Elephas maximus indicus: one gene and its partner. The protein of the gene in region 1 binds, or shares a complex with, the protein of each later gene. Links are inferred from orthologs where the notes say so. Each region holds a gene or a part of one and is shown on either strand. Other genes may lie near its edges.

The links.
Region 2: the proteins of EED (region 1) and EZH1 are in contact, whole or in part, in a cryo-EM structure (PDB 7KTP), measured with the Homo sapiens proteins. The link is inferred for Elephas maximus indicus from reciprocal best matches to the Homo sapiens genes EED and EZH1. Residues at the interface, in NP_003788.2 of Homo sapiens: Cys84, Val85, Asn86, Ser87, Leu88, Lys89, Glu90, Asp91, Trp103, His104, Ser105, Lys106, Glu107, Val112, Arg120, Leu123, Tyr124, Gln129, Gly130, Glu131, Ile132, Arg133, Leu134, Leu135, Gln136, Ser137, Tyr138, Val139, Asp140, Tyr154; in NP_001982.2 of Homo sapiens: Gly37, Ala38, Lys39, Leu41, Tyr42, Val43, Asn45, Phe46, Lys48, Val49, Gln50, Lys52, Thr53, Gln54, Leu56, Asn57, Glu59, Trp60, Leu63, Arg64, Val65, Gln66, Pro67, Val68, Gln69, Ser70, Met71, Cys83, Thr84, Ile85.

The regions. Positions count from the first base shown.
Region 1 is NC_064825.1:35,344,158-35,355,699, reverse strand, and holds the start of EED (polycomb protein EED), read left to right. Parts: upstream 1-3,842; 5' UTR 3,843-4,215; coding exon 4,216-4,329; intron 4,330-11,542. UniProt on the Homo sapiens protein: Polycomb group (PcG) protein. Component of the PRC2/EED-EZH2 complex, which methylates 'Lys-9' and 'Lys-27' of histone H3, leading to transcriptional repression of the affected target gene.
Region 2 is NC_064837.1:49,586,510-49,598,051, forward strand, and holds the start of EZH1 (histone-lysine N-methyltransferase EZH1), read right to left. Parts: upstream 6,549-11,542; 5' UTR 6,465-6,548; intron 1-6,464.

The DNA of each region.
Region 1 (11,542 bases):
TGTATTATCTTGCTTAATGCGCACAATAAACAAACCTCTTTTAAACACAAAACACTGGAATTACTTTCGTTTTTTAAAAGCTAACTTCTCCCTTAAATTAATGATGGACAATTGACTTTTGCACTTGCCTCCTAAGACTGTACTTGAGTTTGGGGAGAAGTGAAATTACATCATGTCTTTCTGCTCAATACCAAAAGTTAAAAATCCCATCTTCTTTCCTTCAACTTCTGTCTTGTTTAGAGATCACATCACTCAGGAAATCAGCCAAACTATCAACCTGAGTCATTCTATGCCCACCTCCCACCACCCCACATGTTGCTTGAGTTACTGAGTCCTGTTGGTTGAAATTCTTAAATATCTCTGGAAACAACCCCTTGTTGTCCATCCTCATCGCCACTGCCTTAGTTCAGTTCTGCAGTTTTGCAATGGCTTCTGAACTCATCTCTCTACCTCCATTCTTACACCCTGACCACTGCCAAAGTGAAAACTCTTCTTCGGTCATGCACTGCTTATCAATGGCATAAGGCTTTTCATGATCTGGTCCCTCCCCAGCTAACAAGACACTTATTGATATGCCATAAGCCAAAGTATTAAACTTATGCTGTCACCTCTCAGGTGACTAGAATATGAATGTCCACCCGTTAGTGTTACTTCCTTGCTGTTATTAAGGAAACCAGAAAACTGAATTATTAATCATAGGTAGTACTCAGTAGGCAAAGAACAGAGGGCTTTTTAAAGGGACTTTGTCTTACTTTCCCTTTTACTCCCCACCTTCCATCCCCATGGATACTGCTTTGCATATAGACAGTATTCAGTAAATTTCTCCTTATTGATTTTGAAATGTTCAAAGAAGCCATATGATCTTATGTTCACAGAAAAATAGATCTGTAAGCATATTATTACACATTGCAGGAGTGATGAACAGCTGTTATTTATGAAGCAGAAGATACAAAAAATGTTGAATGAATGAGAAATAGACTTCAACTGAAATAGAAAAGATTTAATTTAGCTCTTGAAACTCATTTCCTGATATGAAACTTACAAGATATTGGAAGACAATACTAAGGGAGGTTGCGAGTTCTCTTTTTTTATGTAACTAAATGATCTTTGAAAGTTTTTCAAGATAGATCAACCACTTTCTTGAAAGCTAAGGGGTATTTCTGATGAGAGTTCTCAACAGTTCAACAGTCTAACATGAGATAGCTTTTTTTTTTTTTTTAAATAAATTTTTATTTTGGGATAATTACAAAGTTACAAAGATAGAATAGCATTTGTGTATACTCTTTATCCAGTTTGCCTTATTGTTAACCTGTTACCCCCGCTGTTAACATGTTACAAAACCAAACCCACAGCTGTGGAGTCAATTCCCACTCACAGCAACCCTTTGTAAACTTCTACAGAAGCAGACTGCCACATCTTTCTCCCGTGGAGCCGCTGGTGGTTTTGAACTGCCAACCTTTCAGTTAGCAGTTGATCGCTTTAACTACTGCACCAGCAGGGCTCCTTTACATTGGTACATTTGTCAAAATTAAGAAACTTAAATAGTACGTTATTATTAACTAAACTCCAGAATTTATTTGGATTTTCCTGTCATGTCATCCTTCTGTTCCAAGAGAGATAGCCTTTTTTATGTTCTTTGAATAGTGTGTAAGACATTGGCCTAAAGATCAAGCTCTGTGCATCCCACTGCAGCATGGGATTACATAAATCTAGAGTTGCTTGGGTCCTTCATTTTGAGGCTTTGGAGTCAACCAGCCTTGAATATGCTCCCCAGCCCTGCCACTTGCAGAGCCAGGTGTTTTCAGGTAAAGTGTTTAATCACCCTGGGCTTCCGTTTCCTCATTTGTAAAATGCAGGTGGTAAGACCTCTTCAACTGTGGTGGTTCCTGAGATCCTCCACAGTAAGAGAATTCAGTGTTGAGAAACTTACTTTAACGTATTATATTAACTTAATACCATCAGGGTAGCACTCTAAATAGAATACCTTTGATATTTTACATATCCTAAACTAGTAATAATGAATATTAATGAAGTAATTTCCATTTATCATGCTTGACTCACCAGAACATTTTTAAAAAATTCCTCCAAGTTTTAATAAGACACTTAAAATATTTTTGCTTTGTTACAGATAATGTTCATGCTGAAAGGCATTTTCCTCCCATAGGTGTCCATTATTCAGAAGTTCAACACTTTTCTGATTTTATGACTAGAAGTTGACTCCCAGGTTCCAGTTTTCATTGATCCCAGACACAGAGTAATGTGGATTTGAAATACTTTAGTTGATTATCCTTTAGTTGTAGACATATATTTCACATTCTTCCCAACAGGTAAGGGGAGTATGTTTGTCTCTGCACATCTTACTTTCTCAGTAGCTGACTCCATACCACTCTCATCTCTCTTCTCACCAACTAAGGAGTGCTTAGCAGTACCTGGCACATTAGGATTCAAACAATAACTGCACTTATTATTATTAAAATCTCAACTTAATTTTTTTTTTAGCTTCCTTATTTTCCTGAGTTTTCATTGCAAAAACCTCTTATTTTGCCTTTACCACACTTTTCTCATTCTCAACCAGGAGTTCTCTTCTTATCTCCAAAACAGTGACTTGCAACCTGCAGATAATGAAATTGATTTTCTCTCTGTGAAAGCATCATGCAGAAGTAATTCACGTATACTAGAATGTTATGGAAGGGGCAGTCTAGACTGGCAATCTTTTGGGTGATGTAACAAAGTAAAAAATGAGAAAATGTACATAAAATCAAGTCCGTGCTCAAAAAATTTGTATCCTTTATTTTTAAAGATGAGGACACTGAGTCACAGAAAGATAACTTGTCACAACCATGTTCTAAAAAAAGGTGGGAGGGGCTAGATTTTATCTCCTGTCATCCTTCTTTTCCTGCTGCTCATTCAGTTACGCGGCTTAATGACCCATGTACCAAATCCGCAAAGTTCACCAATATATTTGGCACCGGTCAAGAGCCCAGATATGGTAATACTCATAAGAGAAGCATTTTGGTGAAGTACAAGTTTTAGTGCTGTCTCAAAAATTTTATTATACCTGATGTGCCCCCCCCCCAAAAAAAATTGTCCGTCGTTTTAGTCTCATCCATTGTTGGAAGCGACCACTGATTTATGGGCCTTGGCGTTGTCTGGGCCTTAATGATCCTTCAGCAATTAAAAAGAGGGCTTCGGCTATAATTCTTGAAGGTCTAGAATCATATTATGATTACAGAATATTCCTACTTAAGCCTTAACCAATATTGGCACCAAGTGGGTGAGAATAAGCATTCATCGCAATAAATACTCATCAGAATAAATATCCACCAAGAATTTAAAATGCATCCTGAGACTAAGACTTGGTAGCGCTTTGGAATCCATCCTGGACTACGGAAACCGACTAGAACTCTACCTGGTTCAACAAACAAGATTTCGAAAAGAGGAGGGGTGTAGAGGAGGCGGGTCCGGATGGACCAGCGCGAGAATACGCTCCGGCGCATGCGCGTCTCCTAGCTAGTAACTTCCATTTCTAGACGGGGGAGGCGAATGGAAAGCTGTCTACAATTTTGGAACATCTATTCCCAAAAGAAAACTAAGTTGTGAAAGATTTCGTGGAAAACCATAAGAGAATTATCCTCCGAGTTGATGACTAAGGATATGCTTCGCACACGCCGCTGAAGCAAGAGGTGACTTCTCGTGTTTTCCCCCGTCCTTTGGGACATTGGTGGTCTAGTCCATTCCACATACTTTCGAGCCCCTGCAGCGGGTCGAGGATCGAAGGTTTGGGCCAATTGCGGCTGAAACGGCTTTGGAAGGAGAAAGAGAGTGAGGGAGAATCCCTCTGAGTTCCATCTCTCCTTTTCGAGGCGGGAGTGGTAAAGGGGACGTACGAAATACTGCCCTCGAAAGCCAACGGATCACACCTCTCCGTGCAAATTGCCAGAGGACTGCGGGAAAAGGGCAAGAGGATAGTAGCGAAAGGGAAGGAGCCAGAAAGCCGCGCGGGAGGGCGCGCGAGCGCGCCCCTTTTTCAGCAGTGTGGCGGGGTCGCACGCACGCCCGCCTCGGCGGCTGGGCGCGGTTTGCGACAGTGGGGGGAGCGGTGGCGGTGGCGGCGGCAGTGGCAGCTTTACGGCAAGCTCTGGCCGGGCTTGCTTGACGGCGGTGTGGCGCAGGCCCCGCCCGAGGCGGCAGGAACCTGGAGGGAGGCGGAGGAATATGTCCGAGAGGGAAGTGTCGACAGCACCGGCGGGAACAGACATGCCTGCGGCCAAGAAGCAGAAGCTGAGCAGCGACGAGAACAGCAACCCAGACCTCTCTGGAGACGAGAATGTAAGTGCAGCCCGGAGCAGTCCGGTCGGTACTCTGGAGTGAAAGTTTTAAATTCTTTTTAAACTGTAGGCGCTGGGGCGGGCGGGCAACCGTAGGGTGGAGGGAGAGGTGTCACCCTCTACTCAGGAAAACGCGGGCGTGGAGGAGAAAATTGAACTTGTCTCTATGGGGATGTTGAGCTGGGGCCGAGGGCAAACAGAAACGTGGGGAAGGAGGGTGATTTAAATGGTTGTTTGATGAGCAGAGGGTCTGAGGTGGTCTGCTCTGAGATCCTCTTGGTGTATGATTGACGGGAGGGAGAGTGTTTAGGCCTTCGGGTGATTTTGGGAGAGTGCGGATCTGAGATTCCAGTAGTTTAAAAGGCGTGTTAGAGATTTTTTAAGAGAGTTGGAAAGAGGGGGATAGTCTGTTAGGGCCTCTTAAGGACTTGGGGGACGGTGTCACTCATAGACCCTTGTGAATTTTCAGGATGGAAAGCATAAATCTTCGACTTATTGGGTTTGGGTAACTTTTAAGGGGATTTTGTGTCTGCTCCTGTCCTGCTCATGGAGATGGAAAAGCAGATTGAGAGTCACCTTCTGACGTGTAGGGGGAATGACTTTGAGGAAGAAATGAGAAGGGATGGTTTCTCCTTTGAAAGTTGTTATTTCAGATAAGCGGGACGACCTAAGAGAATTTAGGCAACTGAGTGGTGAATGCAAATTGGCTTTGGAATCAGACTTTTTTTGTTTAAGTTCTGAGATGGATCTTGGTAATCATGTAGTCCCAACAGTTTACAAAGCTGTGTTTAGATGACTCGCCTGTAAAAACCGAACTGACATTAATAGATGTGGATTGAAGAATGAAATTCACTCTGCAAGTAATCCAGCTAAAATTCTTTTTTTGAAAAATGAATGTATAGGTAAGAGTAAGTGAATGATGATTAGTGAAATATACTTGGAACTTCCAGGTGGTAACAAGAGAAGGAAGTTTCAGATTTATTTAGGATCCCATGGAAAGCCTAATATTGTTTTGGTTTGTGTACCAGCCTTTTTCACTAGAGAAAGGATGGACCTTTTCTCCTTCAATCCTACAGTGTGCTTTCAAATCGCTTGGGTTTTATAAAAGTGGCAAAATAAGTTCAATAGATATTTTGGAGTAATTGATTCTTCACCAGGTACACAGATACTGGTATATAAACCAGGTTCTTGTTCTAAGTTATATCCAGTAAGGTCAGCAAAATGTCCGACTCATAGCAATCCTATAGGACAGAGTTGAACTGCACCATAGAGTTTCCAATGGCTGCTGCCACTTCTTTCTCCCCCAGAGCAGCTGGTGGATTCGAACCACTGACCATTTATTTGGTTAGCAACCAGGTGCTTAACCACTGTTCCACCAGGGCTCCTTAAAATGTCTAAAAGATTGTTCATTCAAGGCTATTACTGCAAAATATGAACCCTTCCTTATCATAGTATAATAATTTCTCAGTGCGTTAAGAATTTTTAAAGGGTTATGCTTGGGTGGTGTAAGTTCTTCATTTTCTGAGTTTGGCTAGTTTTTTAGGAATTGTTATATCTTACACCTTCAGTTCCTAAATTCTATATCATAAACACTGACGCATATATATGGAGACTTTCTTTTTCTTTATTTTGATGAGTAGGTTTGTTAACTTTCTTTGAAATTTATCCCTATCTTCCTAAGTTTAAACCGGTCTTTTATTACTTGGTATTGCCTTGACGTCCTCTCTATTTGGAAGTTCTATACCTGTATTGTTTATTCCCTTTTTTTATTGTTCTGTCATTGTCATTTACAGATCTCTCTGGCTCCGTGTTGTAAATCTTTTAGTTTTGTTTTATCCTTGGGAGTTCATTACCTAGGGTAGTGTCTGACTGATACTGTCTTGTGTCCTAGATTCAGGTTGATGTCTGATATTTTTGGTTCTCTAACTGAAGGACTTTCTTTAATAATTCTTGTAAGCTTGGCTTGGTTTTTACATATTCCCTTAATTTCTGTTTATCTGGAAATGTCCTAATTTTGCCATCATATTTGAGCAAGAGTTTTGCAGGATATATTCTTGGTTGGCAGTTTGTCTTTCAAGGTTTTATGTATGTCATTCCATTGCCTTCTTGACTGCATAGTTTCTGCCCAGTAATCAGAGTATAGTCTTATTGCTTCCCCTTTTGTATGTAACTTAGTTTTTCTGGAACTGCTCTTAGGGTTCTTTGTCTTTGGTTTTAGCAAGCGTGGTTATGATATGTCTTGGTGATTTTCTCTTGGGGTCTATCCAATATGAGGTTTGTTGAACTTCTTGTATGGTCAGCTTTTCGTCTTTAGGGAAGTTTTCTGTCAGCAAGTCTGCAGTGATCCTCTCTGTGTTTTCCATTTTCTCCCACTGTTCTGGAACTCCCATCACATGCAAAGTTTTGCTTTTGATTGTATCCCACATCGTTCTCAGGGTTTCTTCATTTTTCTCCATTCTTTGATATTTCTTCAAAGTGGTGTCCATAGATTTGTCTTCGATTTCACTGATCATATCTCCTGTTGTTTCAGATTTGCTCCTAAAACCTATTGCATTGTCCATTTCTGGAATCTTATTGTCATTTGAATTTCTAATTGCTGTTTTTTTTTTTTTAATGATTTCTAGCTGTTTATTTTGATGTTTTGTTCCTTTATTTTTCTTAATTCTTCCATTGCTTTGTCTTTGTTTTCCCTGATTTTTCTCTATATTTTCCATGATTTTGTCTATTTTTTCCTTATTTTTGTCTGCATTTTCTTCATCTCTTGGAGAACCCTGAATTTTAGAGTTTTGAATTCCCTATCAGGTAGTTTCAGTTCCTTTTCTTCTACCAGAAGGTCATTGGTGTTTTATTTTGGTTGCTTTCTGGAGCCATCCAGTTATGTTTTTTAATGTGTTTTGATATTGTCTGCTGTGGCCTGTACATTCAGGAATTATTTTCTTAGTTTACTGATTGTAGATTTGTTTGTTTCATCCCCCTTTTTTGTTCTATTTGGTTACATCTGGGCAGGCAGGCTGGGAGTGTTTTGTTACTTGCTCACCTGTCGGCATGATACTTCTTTCCACCCAATCCAGGTGAGCAGGTCCGGTCACTCAGCTATGGTGCATCAGGGTAGGTCCAGCGGAAGTGGAGGGGTGGGGATGGGTAGTTTGCAACACAAACTGGGGACTACAAGGCAGGGCTGGGAGCAGTGCTGGGTGAGGTTGGGGCGGATCATGTTGGTGCTGCTCAGGGGCGCAGTGCAGGTAGGCAGGAGGGGCGCAGTGCAGGTAGGCAGGAGGGGAGGGAGAGGATGTGATGCATAGAGCTAAGTGGGTGAGTGAGAGAAGAGAGGAGAGAGAGAAACAAAAGCAAAAAAATGAAGGAAAAAAGTAAAATGACTGGTAGGATTTGGTGAGTAGGGGTGGAGCTGACCCAGCTAGGCCATGTGCTGGTGGCTCTCTAGCCAAGTGGTGCAGCTTGACCTGTTGAAAAGGGGCATGGGTGGTGCACGGGGCTAGGTGGGTGGTAGAAAGGGAAAAAAAGGGGGGGGGGGGGGAGAAGAAACCAACAAACAAAGAAGTAAAGTTAAGAAAATAAAAAATAAATAAAAGCAACAACAACAACAACAAAAATATGGTAGGAAGGGAGCCAGCTGTTGGGGGCGAGGTGGAATTGGGGTGGTGGCAAACTGATGTTTCACTCTGGACATGTCAGGAAGGGGCAGAGGCAGCACAGGGCCTAGGTGGGAGTGAGAAGGAAAAGGAAGAAGGGGAAAGATAAAGAAAAATAAAGAATATGGTGCTGAAGGAGCCAGCCTGTGAATGCGGCACAGACCTGGGGAGGCCGTGTGTCAGAGGCTTTCCAGCCGAGTGGTACAGCACAGCCCACCAAGAAGGGAGGTGTGGTGCATGGGGCTTGGTGGATGGGAGAAAGAAAAAACAACTAAAAAGAAAAACAAACAATATATAAAATGGCACTGAAGGAGCTGGTTGGTCATGGCACTGCACCATGTTCTCTGAAAAAGGGGAGGGGATGGCACACTAGGCTAGCTGGGTGGGAGAAAGGAAAGGAGAGAGAGAGAGAGAAAGGCAACAAAAAAAGCTTAAAAACAAAAAAATGGCGCTGAGGGGGCTGGCTGATGGGGGTGGGGTGGACCCAGGTGGCAGTGAGCTGGTGTGTCACCGGCCAAGTCACTGTGGCCCATTGGAAAGCGATGGAGGCCTTGTACAGGGAAAAAGGGTGGGGGGGTGGGAAAGCATGTATCCCTGGTTACTGGGTGCTCTTTCTCCACGAAGTTGCCTTTCTATACTCCTTGTCTGTGTTCCTTGGTGGCTGTAGTCCAAGATGGCAAATCCGTACTATGTTAGCTGAAAGGGGACCTCTATTCGTAGCCCTCCTTGTTCTTTGTTCTCTGTCAGTTTCTTACTCCACTGGGTGCTTGCTTGAGCTCTTTATTCCTTCATTTGATGCTTAGGGTTCCAGGATTGATGTTTGTATCTGTTTTACTTAGTTTTTCATTTTTCAGGTCTTTGCTGCAGAGGCGTGGCATGCTGCTTCTGTCTATAGCACCATGTTGGCTCTGCCTCCCCTGAATCATATATACAGCATGGTGTCATTACCAAGATTTTCACGGAAGAGGTGGGAAAGGATTCTTTTTGTAGGTTGAAGAAAGATATTTTAGGATTGTCAGCTTGTAGGATCTTAGACTTGAAGTTTCTTGGAAAAGTTTGGGTGTTGAATGTTACTTAAAATCTTTTTTTTTCCTGTTTGTGCTTCCCATATATATTGGGGTCTAACATTTTTGACCCTCTTCATTCTAGCCCTTGGAGCCTGTTACACTTCCTGGATTTTCTTAAACTTCTCTAGACAGATTAGACTAGTGGTTAAGAGCACAGACACTGGATCTAAATGCTGGGTTAAAAATCCTCTTCATTGATTGTTTGACCTTGAGCAAGGTACTTAACCTCTGCCTCAGTTTCTTATTCAAAAAATGGGAATGATAATGATACAAAGAGTACTTAATCTCCGTCTCAGGTTTCTTATCTGAAAAATGAAGATGTTAATGGTGCAAACAGTTAAACACTGGACTACTAGCCAAAGGATTGGCAGTTTGAAAGCACCTCAGAAGACAGGCCTGGAGATTTGCTTCCAAAAGATCACAGCCTTGAAAACATTATGGAGCAGTTCACTCTGCATGCATGGGGTTGTGGGATCAATTGGTCTGCAAGTAACAACAGTGGTATTTACTTCTTGGGATCTTTTTGAGAATTAAATGAAATAATATAGGTAAAGGAAACCCTGGTGGTGTAGTAGTTAAGTGCTACTGCTGCTAACCAAAAGGTCTGCAGTTCAAATCCACCAAGTGCTCCTTGGAAACTCTATGGGGCAGTTCTACTCTGACCTATAAGGTCACTGTGAGTCGGAATCGACTCGACGGCAACGGGTTAATATAGGTAAAGGGCTTAGAACAGTACCTATTCCATAATAGGTACTACCAAAAATAAAAATAAAAACCTGTTGCCATAGAGTTGGTTCCGACTTATAACGACCCTATAGGACAGAGTAGAATTGCCTCATTGAGTTTCCAAGAAGCAGCTGATGGATTCTTAACTGCCAACCTTTTGGTTAGCAGCCCTTTTGGTTAGCAGCTGTAGCTCTTAACTGCCGTGCCACCAGGGTTTCCAATAGGTACTATACAAATGTTAGTTATTTATAATAGTTATTTTGTGATCATGTAGTCCACACTCCCTTATACTTAATAATCAGGCAGAATGTAACGAATATGCCAGTAACCTGTTTAGACTGAGAAAAAAAATCAGGACCAAATAAATTGAAAGTTTATTTTCTTTTTGCAGACCATTAAAGGGAATATTGGAAACTCTGGTGGTGTAGTGGTTAAGTGCCGTGGCTGCTAACGAAAAGGTCGGCAGTTCAAATCCACCAGACACTCCCTGGAAACTCTATGGGAAATTCCACTCTGTCCTATAGGGTCCCTGTGAGTCAGTAGTCTTTGGTGTATTTTAAAGCTATTCAGAACCAAAGAACTGGATTAAGCCTTTGTTTACGTTCCTCCATTTGAATATGACTTAAGCTTTTTTGTGCCATGGGCCCTTTAGTCCTGTGGATCTTTTCAGAGTAACATTTTTAAATATATAAAACAAAGTATTGTTTTTTTTAAAAAAAGTACGAAGAAAATTAAAACAGGGTTTATTTGAGCAGTTATTCTATATGTATATAGGGAGACCATTCTGATCCTAAAAATACAAGTGGCTCGTAGTTGGCCAGTTATGATGATGCATTTAAACAGAAGAATAGAAAATCAACCATTGGCTAATCTTAATGTGATTGTGTCCTGCTCCCCTCTTAATGAAATCTGCTGACATCAGGTTCCGAGGTGGTTTCTGGCCTGTCTGGGCTTTCCCCTTCTCTCCCTTTACTTGTATAAATCTTTAGGTATTGTACGGAGGTTTTTAAAATGATAAAAGGTACTTCTTTTCCCAGGAAGCAAGGGAAATTACCTAAAGTTACTTTTTTTTTTTTGCTTTAGATAAACTCTGAGCTAGTTTATGGTTAACAAATGTCTTGTCACAAAGGAAGTAGTAAAGATTTAATAACTGCATTAAAGTGGACTTCAGTTTCCTTATTAATACTGCAAAATAGTTTAGCGGTTCTTAGTGAAGAAAACAGGTTAATGGTTATACAGTTTGTTTTGGGGGTGAAGGGTGTCAGGCTTTTATTGTTAATTTTGGGTTCATGGGTAAGAGAAGCACCTTGAAATCAGAGTAAGATGTCTATTTTTAGTTTTATTTTACAGCATATAAGGTTACAAACAAAACCAATTACAAAATATTAAAAATTTTTAAAACAAATTTGAGATATAGGAATGTATATGCTTTATTAGGACATAAGAAGCTCTAGCAGCAGGTCTGATAGTGATGAGTATAAGCAATTTTTTGAGATCTGTAACACCTATAATATGAAAATAACCTGATTTCTAGTGGTGACAGTCACAGGTGTAGTAACATTAGCATGTATGTTACCTGCATTTGTTATTGAAAAAAGGACTAAATTGCAGTACAAAAAATAAAACCGGACCAGTTGCTGTCAAGTTGATTCCGACTCATAGCAATCCTATAGGACAGAGTAGAACTACCCCACCGGGCAGCTGAATGTAAAGAAGCTGGTATATACATGCCTAGGAGTTTTATTTTTATGTTATTTCTATAGTTTAAAAA
Region 2 (11,542 bases), on another chromosome or scaffold:
CCTAACAAACAACTATCGCTTCAAAGTTCAAAGGAAGGGGGAAAAAAAAAACTGCATTCACTAGAAAGGGTTTAGAGAAGTGGGTTCATTCATCCTGGGCAAAGGGAGTGGCACACATAAAGTACTTTATATTTCTACTAGATCTATTCTTTGGTTATTTGCATATACAAAAAAGTATTTATATTGCAGCTAAGTACTAAGCTAGTACTTAAGAACCTTTCATTACATTCACTTATAAATTGCAAATAAACTCCAAAACATAGGCTGTTTTGGTCAAGAAGTTTAAAAATGAGTCTTTATATAAATAACTATTACAACCCAATATCAAGAAGACAAACAACCCAACAAATAGGGGGAGAAAAATTTGAACAGACACTTCGCCAAAAAAAGATATAACTCGGCAAATAAGCATACAAAAAGATGCTCGAACGTCATTAGTCATTAAACACTCTCTCTCAAAAAAAAAAAAAAAAAAGTTGCTGTCTAGTCATTCTGACTCATGGTGACCCCTCTGCTTCAGGGTAGAACTGTGCCCTCCATAGGCTTTTCATGGCTGTGTCCTTTCAGAGGCAGACAGTCAGGCCTTGCTTCCGGAGCTACCTCTGGGTGGATCTGAACCACCAATCTGTTGGTTAGTAGCCAAGGCTTAGCATGACTCCTATTGGTCATGAGGGAAGTGTAAATCAAAACCACAGTGAGATACTATTACACACCCACTGCTGCTGTTGTGTGCCATGGAGTAGATTCCTACTCACAGCAACCCAATGACAGAGCTGCCCCATAGGCTTTCCTAGGCTGCAAATCTTTATGCAGATCACCAGGTCTTTTCTCCCAGGGAGCGGCTGGTGGCTTTGAACCACCAACCTTTTAGTTAGCAGCTGAGTGCTTAGCCACTGTACCACCAGGGTTCCTACATACCCACTAGAATGGATAAAATCAAAAAGACTGACTGGTAATACCAAATGTTGGTGAGACACAGAACACTGGAATCTTCATGCATTGCTAGTGAGAATATAAAATGGTACAGCCACTTTGGAAAACGGTTTGCCTGTTCTTATAAATACATACTTGCCATATGACCTGGTATATAATTCCTAATTATTTATCCAAGAGAAATTTAAAAAAGATGTCCCCATAAAGATTTGTACACAGATGTTCATAGCAGCTTTATTTATAATAGTAAAAAACTAGAAACAGTCCAAAGATCCATGTATTGGTAAATGGATACACAATGTAGCATACACAGACAATGAGGTACTACTCAGCAATAAGATATATGCAACATGTATCTCAAAAGCATTATGTTAAGTGAAGAAAACCAGAGACAAAAAGCTATGTGATTCCCCTTATATGACATTCTACTACAATGATTCTAGAAAAGGCAAAACTATAATGACAGAAGCAGATTAGTGGTTGCCAGGGGCTGGGGTATAGGAAGTGACTGAATGGAAAGGAGAGCGAAAAAACTTCACTGGGATGCTGAAAATGTTCTATACCTTGGTTGTGGTGATAGTTAGATGACCATATACTTCTATCAAAATTCACTGAACTATATACATAAACTGGGTGAATTTATTATACATAGATTTTTTCCTCAAAAAAGCTGACTAAAGAAAAATAAGTTTTTGCTGATAAGAGATCAATCCAGTATTTTCTAGACACTTAACTATTAAAATTCTTTTTTTTTAATTGTGCTTTAGATGAAGGTTTACCTGAACAAATTAGTTTCTCATTAAACAATACACCTATTATTTTGTGACACTGGTTGCCAACCCTGCAACGTGTCAACACTCTCCCCTTCTTGACCTGGGTTCCCCATTTCCATTTGTCCAGCTATCTTGTCCCCTCCTGCCTTCTCATCCTTGCCCGTGGGCTGGTGTGCCCCTTTAGTCTCATATACGTGGTTGAGCTATGTTTTTTTACTGTTTGTTTTATGGGCCTGTCTAATCTTTGGCTTAACTATTAAAATTCTGTAGGCAATTCCACCCTTTAAAAAAAAAAAAAAAAACAACTCCTGTGTGACTTCAGAATGAATAATAATAAAAGATTGAACAGTATTGGTTCATTAATTGTAACAAATGTACCATACCAATGTAAGGTGTTAATAACCAGGGAAGCTGGGTTTGGTGTTTATGGAACTCTCTATACTATCTTTACAATTTTTTTTTTTTTTCGGTAAATCTAAAATTGTTCTAAAAAATGAAGTTTATTTAAAAAAAGATTAGTCATTGAAAATGAGAACTATCTTCTTTACATGCCAAATCTCTACAGGAAAAGAACGTTACAAAAACTTCAAAATCTTTCCCCTGAAAATTGGATCTCGAGTTTCTTCAAAGGCTAAAACTAGAATGTACTCTGTTGGAAATGGGAAAACATTATTGAAATTGTTTGGCAATACAACATTTAAGCAGCACTTTTTTTTTATATATTGGTTTATTCTTAAACTTAGGCAGATTGAGATCAGAATTTTAAAATTCCTAACTATGAGGTTTTTTCATCCACAGAAAGGTGTCCCTTTGTAGAAACAGCTTCTTTGCCTTAGGGGCAAGTTCAATTATCATTACTACTTTCTCTTTTATAACAAATAGTTTTATTAACCAGCAGGCTAAATAAGGCTCAGAAGCAGTTGGCACTGTAGGTTTTTAAATTTTCCATCTCATTCCTTCCTTTTAAAATCAGAGCAGAGTCTGAGACTTGAACAGTAGAGGTGAAACTACCCCTGCAAAGACCTCTGTTGTTGTGTGCCATCCAGTCAATTCTGACTCATAGTGACCTACACTATAAGTAGAAATGCCCCATATGGTTTTCTAAGCTGTAATCTTTACAGCAGCCGATCACTTGATATCTCAGCTACTATAACAGAAATACCACAAGTAGATGGCTTTAACCAAGAAACTTATTCTCTCACAGTCTAGGAGGCTAGAAGTCTGAATTCAGAGTGCCAGCTCCAGGGGAAGAAGGCTTTTTCTCTCTCTGTCGGCTCTGGGGAAAGGTCCTTGTCTTCAATCTTCCCCCAGTCGAGGAGCTTGTCACTGCAGGGGCCCCAGGTCCAAAGGACGCACTATTCTCCTGGCTTTTGTTTCTTGGTGGTATGAGGTCCCCATGTTTCTCTGCTCACTTATCTCTTTTATATCTCAAGAAAGGTTGACTTAAAACACAACCTAAAATCTTGTAGATTGAGTCCTGCTTCATTAACATAACTGCCACTAATCCCAACTCAATATCATAGAGCTGTAGGATTTACAACACATAGGAAAATCACATCAGATGACAAAATGGTGGACAATCACACAATGCTAGGAATCATGGCCTAGCCAAGCTGACACAGATTTTGGGGCGGGGGGGTACACAATTCAATCTATAACACCTAGTGGGTAAGTATGGATTTGAACTACTGACCGTTTGTTTCGTTTAGCAGCTGAGTGCTTAACCTTTGCACCACCACGGCTCCTTACAAAGAGCTCTAGTAACACACAATTGAGTCATTTTGGGGATCACTAATTTCATCAATGTTCCCATTAAAACCAACTCTGTGTCTAGGTGCACAGCCTGATAAGATTCCTCAACTGGTTATCAAGCACATCTTTAACTTGTACTCTTCCATTTCTCCAAGGTATTTATGTTTGTTCTCATTACCTTACTAACAGAAGCCTGTGACCCTGCATTCTCATTGAAAATAATATTACAGCATTAGTATTTTCTATTGTTGTTTCATTAAGGGAATCAGGTCAACTGCATCAGAGACAATGGTGATAAAAATCAAAGCAGGATTAATTCTTATGAGACCAAAAGGAAAACGCTGCCATGTAGGATGGACAATGCTGATTCAGAAGAGTTAGTTAACAAAGCAATCTCCTTGACTGGTTCTGTACTGCACCAGCACAAAGCTTAATATTCAGTGACTGCTCATTATCATCCAATAAAAACAAGACTTTTTAATGTGTTCATTTTGAATCAAAGTATTAGGGCATGTGTATCAGAGAACAGAACACATCAAACATCAAAAAAAAAAAAAATTGCCATCAAGTCAATTCCAACTGATAGCCACCCCATAGGACACAGTAAAACTGTCCCACAGGATTTACAAGGAGCACCTGGTGGAGTTGAACTGCCGACCTTTTGGTCTTAACTAGTATGCCACCAAAACTCCAACTACCCATTAAGTAACTCCTGACATTAAGATTTGGGGCACTGAAGTCCCAACTGCTGATCAAGTTATAAAGAGATAGTTAGGAACCCAATACCTAGTTTGAACAAAGAAGAAAGAAAAGCATTGGAAGCTTTCTGGAATAGAGGTTTTTGTTTTTTTCTTCTCTTAGGGTCGCTATGAGTCGGAATCGACTCCATGGCACTGGGTTTGGTTTTTGTTTGTTTGTTTGTTTATCTTTAGTTAACTTTCCCATGTAGAAATATAATGTGTTTTTAATGTTGCTGCCTCAAACCTTTTTTTGGGAAGTTGCTAGTGAACTAAGTAGAAAGAAACTTTTAAACTTAGTCTAAGACTGAGGGAGGGGGAAGAGGGGGCGGAACAACTAAATGAATTGTTACATGTTTCATATTATGCACAAATCACTGGAACCAACTGTTGCCCACAGGACTAAGAAGCCCAGGTTTCAGATCCCAAGAATTAAATAGACAGAATTAACATTTTCGATATATTTTTTTAAGCATGCCAATTCAAAGACAAGTATAAGAGAAATAAGTTTGACTACATTTTCTTAACTTTCCCTTTCTCAAAAGTCTTCTAGAGGATAAAATTTCATTTTTAATTCCAGACTCCTTTATTCTAGCACTGTTTTAATGGACACTAAAGTAGTCATTACATCAAAGAGGTCATTTACACTTCAGGGAGTTTTGAAGCCATGCCTTAGCATCAAGTTTCATGACTGGCCTACAACAGCTCTGCCATATAGCAACAGGCAGGGTCCAAATCTCCTAGCTCCCAGTCTCAGTCCCCTGGTGCCTCCGTTCCCACCACCCCCCCCCCCCCCCGCCAAACTTTCTACTATTTATTCATTCAAAAATATGTACTGAGTACCTAGTATGTGCCTGGCACTGTCTTAGGTGCTTGGGGCATATCAGTGAATAAAACAAACACCCCTGCCCTCAGGGAGTTAATTCACACTGTGATACGCCCACTCTGCATAAACTCTAACAATAACAGCTTTATTACTTTTTATAGATGGTCTTTTCCTCTATTACAAATGTGTAAAAAAAAAAAAAAGTGGATTTCACAGCACACATTCTTCTGTGTAACTAAGTAATCTCTTGTATCAATGTCACACCATCCCAGCCCTGGGGGATTCCAAAGCTTAAAATAGACAAGCTCTCTCAGAAACCCCTGGTCGAGTTAGCAAATTTTCAGGCTGGAAACTTCATTGAATACCGCCTCCCTTAGCTCAAAAGCACGGGGTGAGAGGATTTTTCTCTTCAAAGACATGGCAGCAAACGTGGAGGAAGACACTCACTTTCAACGCCATCCTTGCTTACAACCGTTTGTCTACTTAGGCTCTTTACCCTCATCCTCAACCCCTCTAGCTGCTAAACAAAAATACCCAGGCTACTCCAGTTACAATCTTATATTTCACCTTTCAAAAGACCACCCACAGTATTCCACCAGCGACATTAACATCCTTGTACCACTTCCCCTCGCTGCCCCCGGGGCAATTCCTCAGTAGTAACTTTTTACCACAATAAAAATTTGTCCCACATTTCCTAACTGGCACGTCACAAATACACTTTGCCTTTGCTTCAAGGAGCTTTCACTTATCATTTGATCCTTAGAAAAACCCCGGGGGTGGGCAGGGATTGACGAATGTGATCATTCGAGGGGGAGGCAGCCTCTTCCTCCAGGCTGGGACAAGGGTGAAGCAAGTGGGGCGTTCTCAGGCACTCACCCTGCACTTGCACGACCCTGAGAGTGAGCGCCCCTTAATCCTGCGCCTTAGGCGCCTCACTCCTCATCCTACTCATGGTCCTGCTATTACTGCCACCCCTTCCTTTTACTGCCATGACCCCCCAAAGCCATCGCAAGCTGAACCCCTGTCACTGGCCCTCGTCGTGCACAGCCCCAGGTCCCCAGGAGACGACCCCGCGCTAAGGGCCCCGCAGGCGCCCCCGCCCACCCGCGCCGGCTCCGAGCTGGGACTCCCGCCCACCCGGCCCACCCGGCCCTCCAACGGGATTCCCCGTCCCGGGCCCGCCCCCGCCGCTCCTCCTCCCGGACACGCCACCCTCCCCGCCTCAGACGCCTCCTCGCCTGGGGCTCCCTCATCCCATCGCCCCTTTTCCCGCAGCCCTCGGAGCGGGGAGGGGGCGCCCCGGCACCCCGCCTAGGCAGGCAGTGTATCTCTCCGCTTCTTCCCAATTCCCCGATCCCTTCGCCTCTCCCCGCCTCAGGCTGGGGGCGACGAAGCGGGGAGGCCCGGCCCCACCGCCCGGTCCCGGCTTGTTTACTCACTCACCCTCCATCCTGAGCCGCAGGGACCCGCCGCCAGCGCGCCTGCGCGCCTCGGCCCCGCCCCCGCGCCGCGGCCCCGCCTCACGCCTCCTCCCGGCGCGTGCGCGTTGGGCCGGCGACCCGGCCGCCAGGGTTTCCTTCGCAAGTTTGCCCTTTGGCGCCAGTAGTCGGGAGTCCGGAACCCAGGGTGGTGCGGCGCGAGCGCTACGATTTCCAAGGCGGCCCTGTCAGGCAGAGGAAGGGCTCTGTGGATCTCTTTCTGAGTCTTGACCTTATCCAAGGGTTCCACCATCCCCACACTTTGGTGACAGCTATGTCTCACTTCGACATTTGAAGCCAACCTGGAGCCTCTTCGTACTGACCGCTTCACACCTACCTATGAAGTTCTAAGTTACTCTATAAGCTCTAAACTACCCTGTTGCTTTGTTTACACCTGACTTACCTATTTATGCAAATAGTTTTCCCAGTCACCTAAATTTAAAAATTTAGTATTATATCAAATTATCTCCTTACAAGATCCCTATTAGTTAAAAAGGAGAAAAAAATAGTAACTTTACAGGGGAGAAACCTAGCAGACACCACCTTAACTAAATGATCAAAGTTAACATTACCAATGTTGAGACTTATTCTTATCAGGTACCTTCCAGTATGAAGCACTGAGAAGGGTACAAAATCACTTCTGTAGTGTTCTTGCCAAAAATGCATAACCTGACTTTAATCATGAGGAAACACTCAAACTCAAATTGAGGAGTAATCTACAAAACAACTGACCAGCACTGTTCAAAAGTGACAAGGTCATGAAAGAAAGAAAGGACAAGAGACTGTCCCAGATTGAGGGAGACTAAGGAGACATGACAACAAAAGGTAATTTGTGACCCTGGATTGAACCCTGGCCCAGAAAAAGAACAGTAGTGGGAAAATTGTTGATATTAGAATAAGGTCTGTGAACTAGTTAATAGTATCTTATCAAGAGGTAACTTTGGTGAAGGGTAAGACAGTACACAATACTGGGGATACCAGAACAACTTGTACAAGGCAAGGTCATGGAAGCTCCATAGATACATCCAAACTCCCTGAGGGACCAAGTTACTGGGCTGAGGGCTGTGGGGACCCTGGTCTCAGGGAACATCTAGTTCAATTGGCATACATAGTTCATAAAGAGAATGTTCTACATTCTACTTTGGTGAGTAGCATCTGGGGTCTTAAAAGCCTGTGAGCAGCCATCTAAAATACTATACTGGTCTCACCCCTTCAGGAGCAAAGGAGAAGGAGGAAAACTAGAGACACAAGGGAAAGATTAGTCCAAAGGACTAATGGACCACAACTACCACAGCCTCCACCAGTCTGAGTCCAGTACAACTAGATAGTGCCTGTCTGCTCCGACAGGAATCACAATAGAGGGTCCCAGACAGAGCTGGAGAAAAATGTAGAACAAAATTCTAACTCGCAAAAAAAGACCAGACTTACTGGCCTGACAGAGACTGGAGAAACCCAAGTGTATGGCCCCCAGACACCGTTTTAGCTCAGTAATGAAGTCATTCTTGAGGTTCACCCTTCATCCAAAAATTAGACAGGCACATAAAACAAAATGAGACTGAAGGGACACGCCAGACCAGGGGCAAGGACTAGAAGACAGGAGGGGACAGGAAAGTTGCTAATAGGGAACCCAAGGTAGAGAAGGGAGAGTGTTGACATGTCGTGGGGTTGAAAACCAATGACATAAAACAATATGTGTGCTGTTTAATAAGATGCTAGTTCTGTAAACCTTCATCTAAAGTACAGTAAAAAAAAAAAGTATCATCAATGTTAATTCCTGGTTTTGATAACTGTACTATGGTTATGTAAGATGCTAACGATTGAGGAATTTAGGTGAAGGATATAGAGACACTTTCTGTACTATATTTGCAACTCTTTTGTAAGTCTGAAATTATTTCAAAATATCAAGTTAAAAAATTAAAATACAAAATAATATCTTGCATTTGCTTCCAACTGTACAATTACAAAAGCCTTTCATGTACATTTATTTTCAAATAATCTTCACCACAGCCCTATGAAGGAGATGAACGCATTTCAGTTTTACACATGAGATTGTTCTGGCACAAGAGAGTTAAAAGACCTGCCTTACACAGAATCTTAAACTCGGGTCTTTGAATTCCAGATTCAGTGTTCCTTCACTTGTATCAGAAACTTTGATCTTGCTGTTTTTCCCTCACTCCCATCTGATTAACTACCAAATTATGGCAAATATTCCTTCATATTTGCAGTTTCCATCCCCACTGCTTTTTAAATCAATGGTTCTCAAACTTGGCTTACACTGAAATCACCTGTTGTTGCTGTTGTTAGGTGCCGGTTGAGCTGGTTCTGACTCGTAGTGACCCCATGTACAACAGAAGGAAACACTGCCCGGTCCTGCACCATCCTCACAATCATTGTTATGCTTGAGCCCATTGTTGCAGCCACTGTGTCAATCCATCTCATTGAGGGTCTTCCTCTTTTTCTCTGACCCTCTATCAAGCATGATGTCCTTCTCCAGGGACTGACCCTCTTGATAGCACATCCAAAGTATGTGAGACAGAGTCTCGCCATCCTTGCTTCTAAGGAACATTCTGGTTGTACTTCTTCCAAGACAGGTTTGTTCATTCTTTTGGCAGTCCATGGTATATTCAATATTCTTCCCCAACACCACAATCCAAAGATGTCAATTCTTCAGTCTTCTTATTCATTGTCCAGCTTTCGCATACATATGAGGCAATTGAAAAAAACATAGCTTGGGTCAGGCACAACTTAGTCTTCGCTTTTCAACACTTTAAAGAGGTCTTTTGCAGCAGATTTACCCAATGCAATGCGTCTTTTGATTTCTTGACTGCTGCTTCCGTGGGTGTTGATTGTGGACCCAAGTAAAATGAAATCCATGACAACTTCAATCTTTTCTCCATTTATCATGATGTTGCTTATTGGTCCAGTTGTGAGGATTTTTGTTTTCTTAATGTCGAGGTGTAATCCACAGTGAAGGCTGTGAGCTTTGATCTTCATTAGTAAGTGCTTCAAGTCCTCTTCATTTTCAGCAAGGAAGGTTGTGTCATCTGCATAATGCAGGTGTTACTTCATCTTCCTCCAATCCTGATGCCCCGTTCTTCTTCATAGAGTCCAGCTTCTCAGATTATTTGCTCAGCATACAGATTGAATAGGCATGGTGAAAAGATACAAGGCTGGTGCACAATTTTCCTGACTTTAAACATGCTCTATCCCCTTTGTCATGGATTGAATTGTGTCCACCCAAAAATATGTGTCAGCTTGGTTAGGCCATGATTCCCAGTATTGTGTGGTTGTCCTCCATTTTGTGATTGTAATTTTATGTTAAGAGGATTAGGGTGGGATTGTAACACCACACTTACTCAGGTCACCTGCCTGTTCCAGTGTAAAGGGAGTTTCCCTGGGGTGTGGCCTGCACCACCTTTTATCTCAAGAAATAAAAGGAAAGGGAAGCAAGCAGAGAGTTGGGACCTCATACCACCAAGAAAGTAGCACGAGGAGCAGAGCACATTCTTTGGACCTGGGGTCCCTGCGCCTGACAAGTTCCTTGACCAGGGGAAGATTGAGGACAAGGACCGTCTTCCAGAGCCGACAGAGAGAGAAAGCCTTCCCCTGGAGCTGGCACCCTGAATTTAGACTTTTAGCCTTTTTTACTGTGAGGAAATAAATTTCTCTTTGTTAAAGCCATCCACTTGTGGTATTTCTGTTACGGCAGCACTAGGTAACTAAGACACCCTTGTTCTGTTCAAATGACTGCGTCTTGATCTGTGTACAGGTCCCTGATGAGCACAATTAAGTATTCTGGAATTCCTGTTCTTCACAATGTTATCCATAATTTGTTATGATCCACACAGTCAAATGCCTTTGCATAGTCAATAAAACACAGGTAAACATCTTAATAAATACCGATGCCCAATTCCCACACCCAGAGAGTCTGATTAATTGATCTGGGGGATAGCCTGGGCTTCAAGAGTTTTAAAAGCTTTCCAGGTGAGTTTAATGTGTAGGCAAGTTTTAGAACTATTGTATGTACTGCATAAATAATTGCTAAAAGAAAGGAAGAATGTGGGTTATTTAAGAAGAGATATTCAGGAGATCTGGATGTCAGGAGACAGGCTGATGAGGAATTTGGGAATCATCAGTATTTTGATGGTAACTGAAGCCATGGAAGCAGACAACATTGCCTTAAAAGAGTATGTCAGGCAATAAGAGGAGAGACACTAAGAAGTTTTGAGATAACAAGGAAAGTATGCTTATAGAAGTCCCCGAGTGGTACAGTTAAGCGCTAGACTACTAGTCAAAAGGTTAGCAGTTTAAACCTACCCAGAGGTGACTCAGAAGACAGGCCTGGTGATCTGCTTCCAAAAGGTCACAGCCTTGAAAACCCCATGGAACAGTTCTACTCTGCACATAGAGGTCTACTCTATTCCAGTTTCCATGAGCCAGAGTCACCTGGACAACAATTGTTATGGAAATATTTGGAGGTAGAAAAGAAGGAAAGTGAGATTTGGATTTATTTAGGTCATTCTTACAGCCCAGCTCCAGCTCCACCACTTCATTAAGCCTCACAGCCCTCATGGATCTCCTGGGTGCTTCCATTTCAGTCCCACTTTACATCTGTATCCTTTCATATCTGGCACAGGACTGAACACAGGGCTCAGTAATTCTTATTCACTAAAGGTTTATGAAAACAACCTTCTGCATTACCAATAAGCTTAGGGTTCTTGGGGAAAATTTGTTTGCCTGTTGCTTCCTTCACATTGTGATGGGAGAACGTTTTTCTTGAGACCAGACTCTTTCTTAGTTGACTGAGTTCCATGTGGCACTAGCAGCCAATCTTTGTTTGGCTACCTCTTCCCTACAATTCTTTTTGTTTTTCAGCCCTTCAGGTCTTTGTCCTGTAAATTCGTAGAAAAGCTGTTGGCCAGATGTCAACAACTGGACCTTTGAAAAACAGTACCATCACCCCTGCCCCACTCCTTTGCACCCCACCCCTAGGCAGTTAATGGAAAAAGGGAATAACTGTGTCACTCCTGGCTTCCAGTTGCT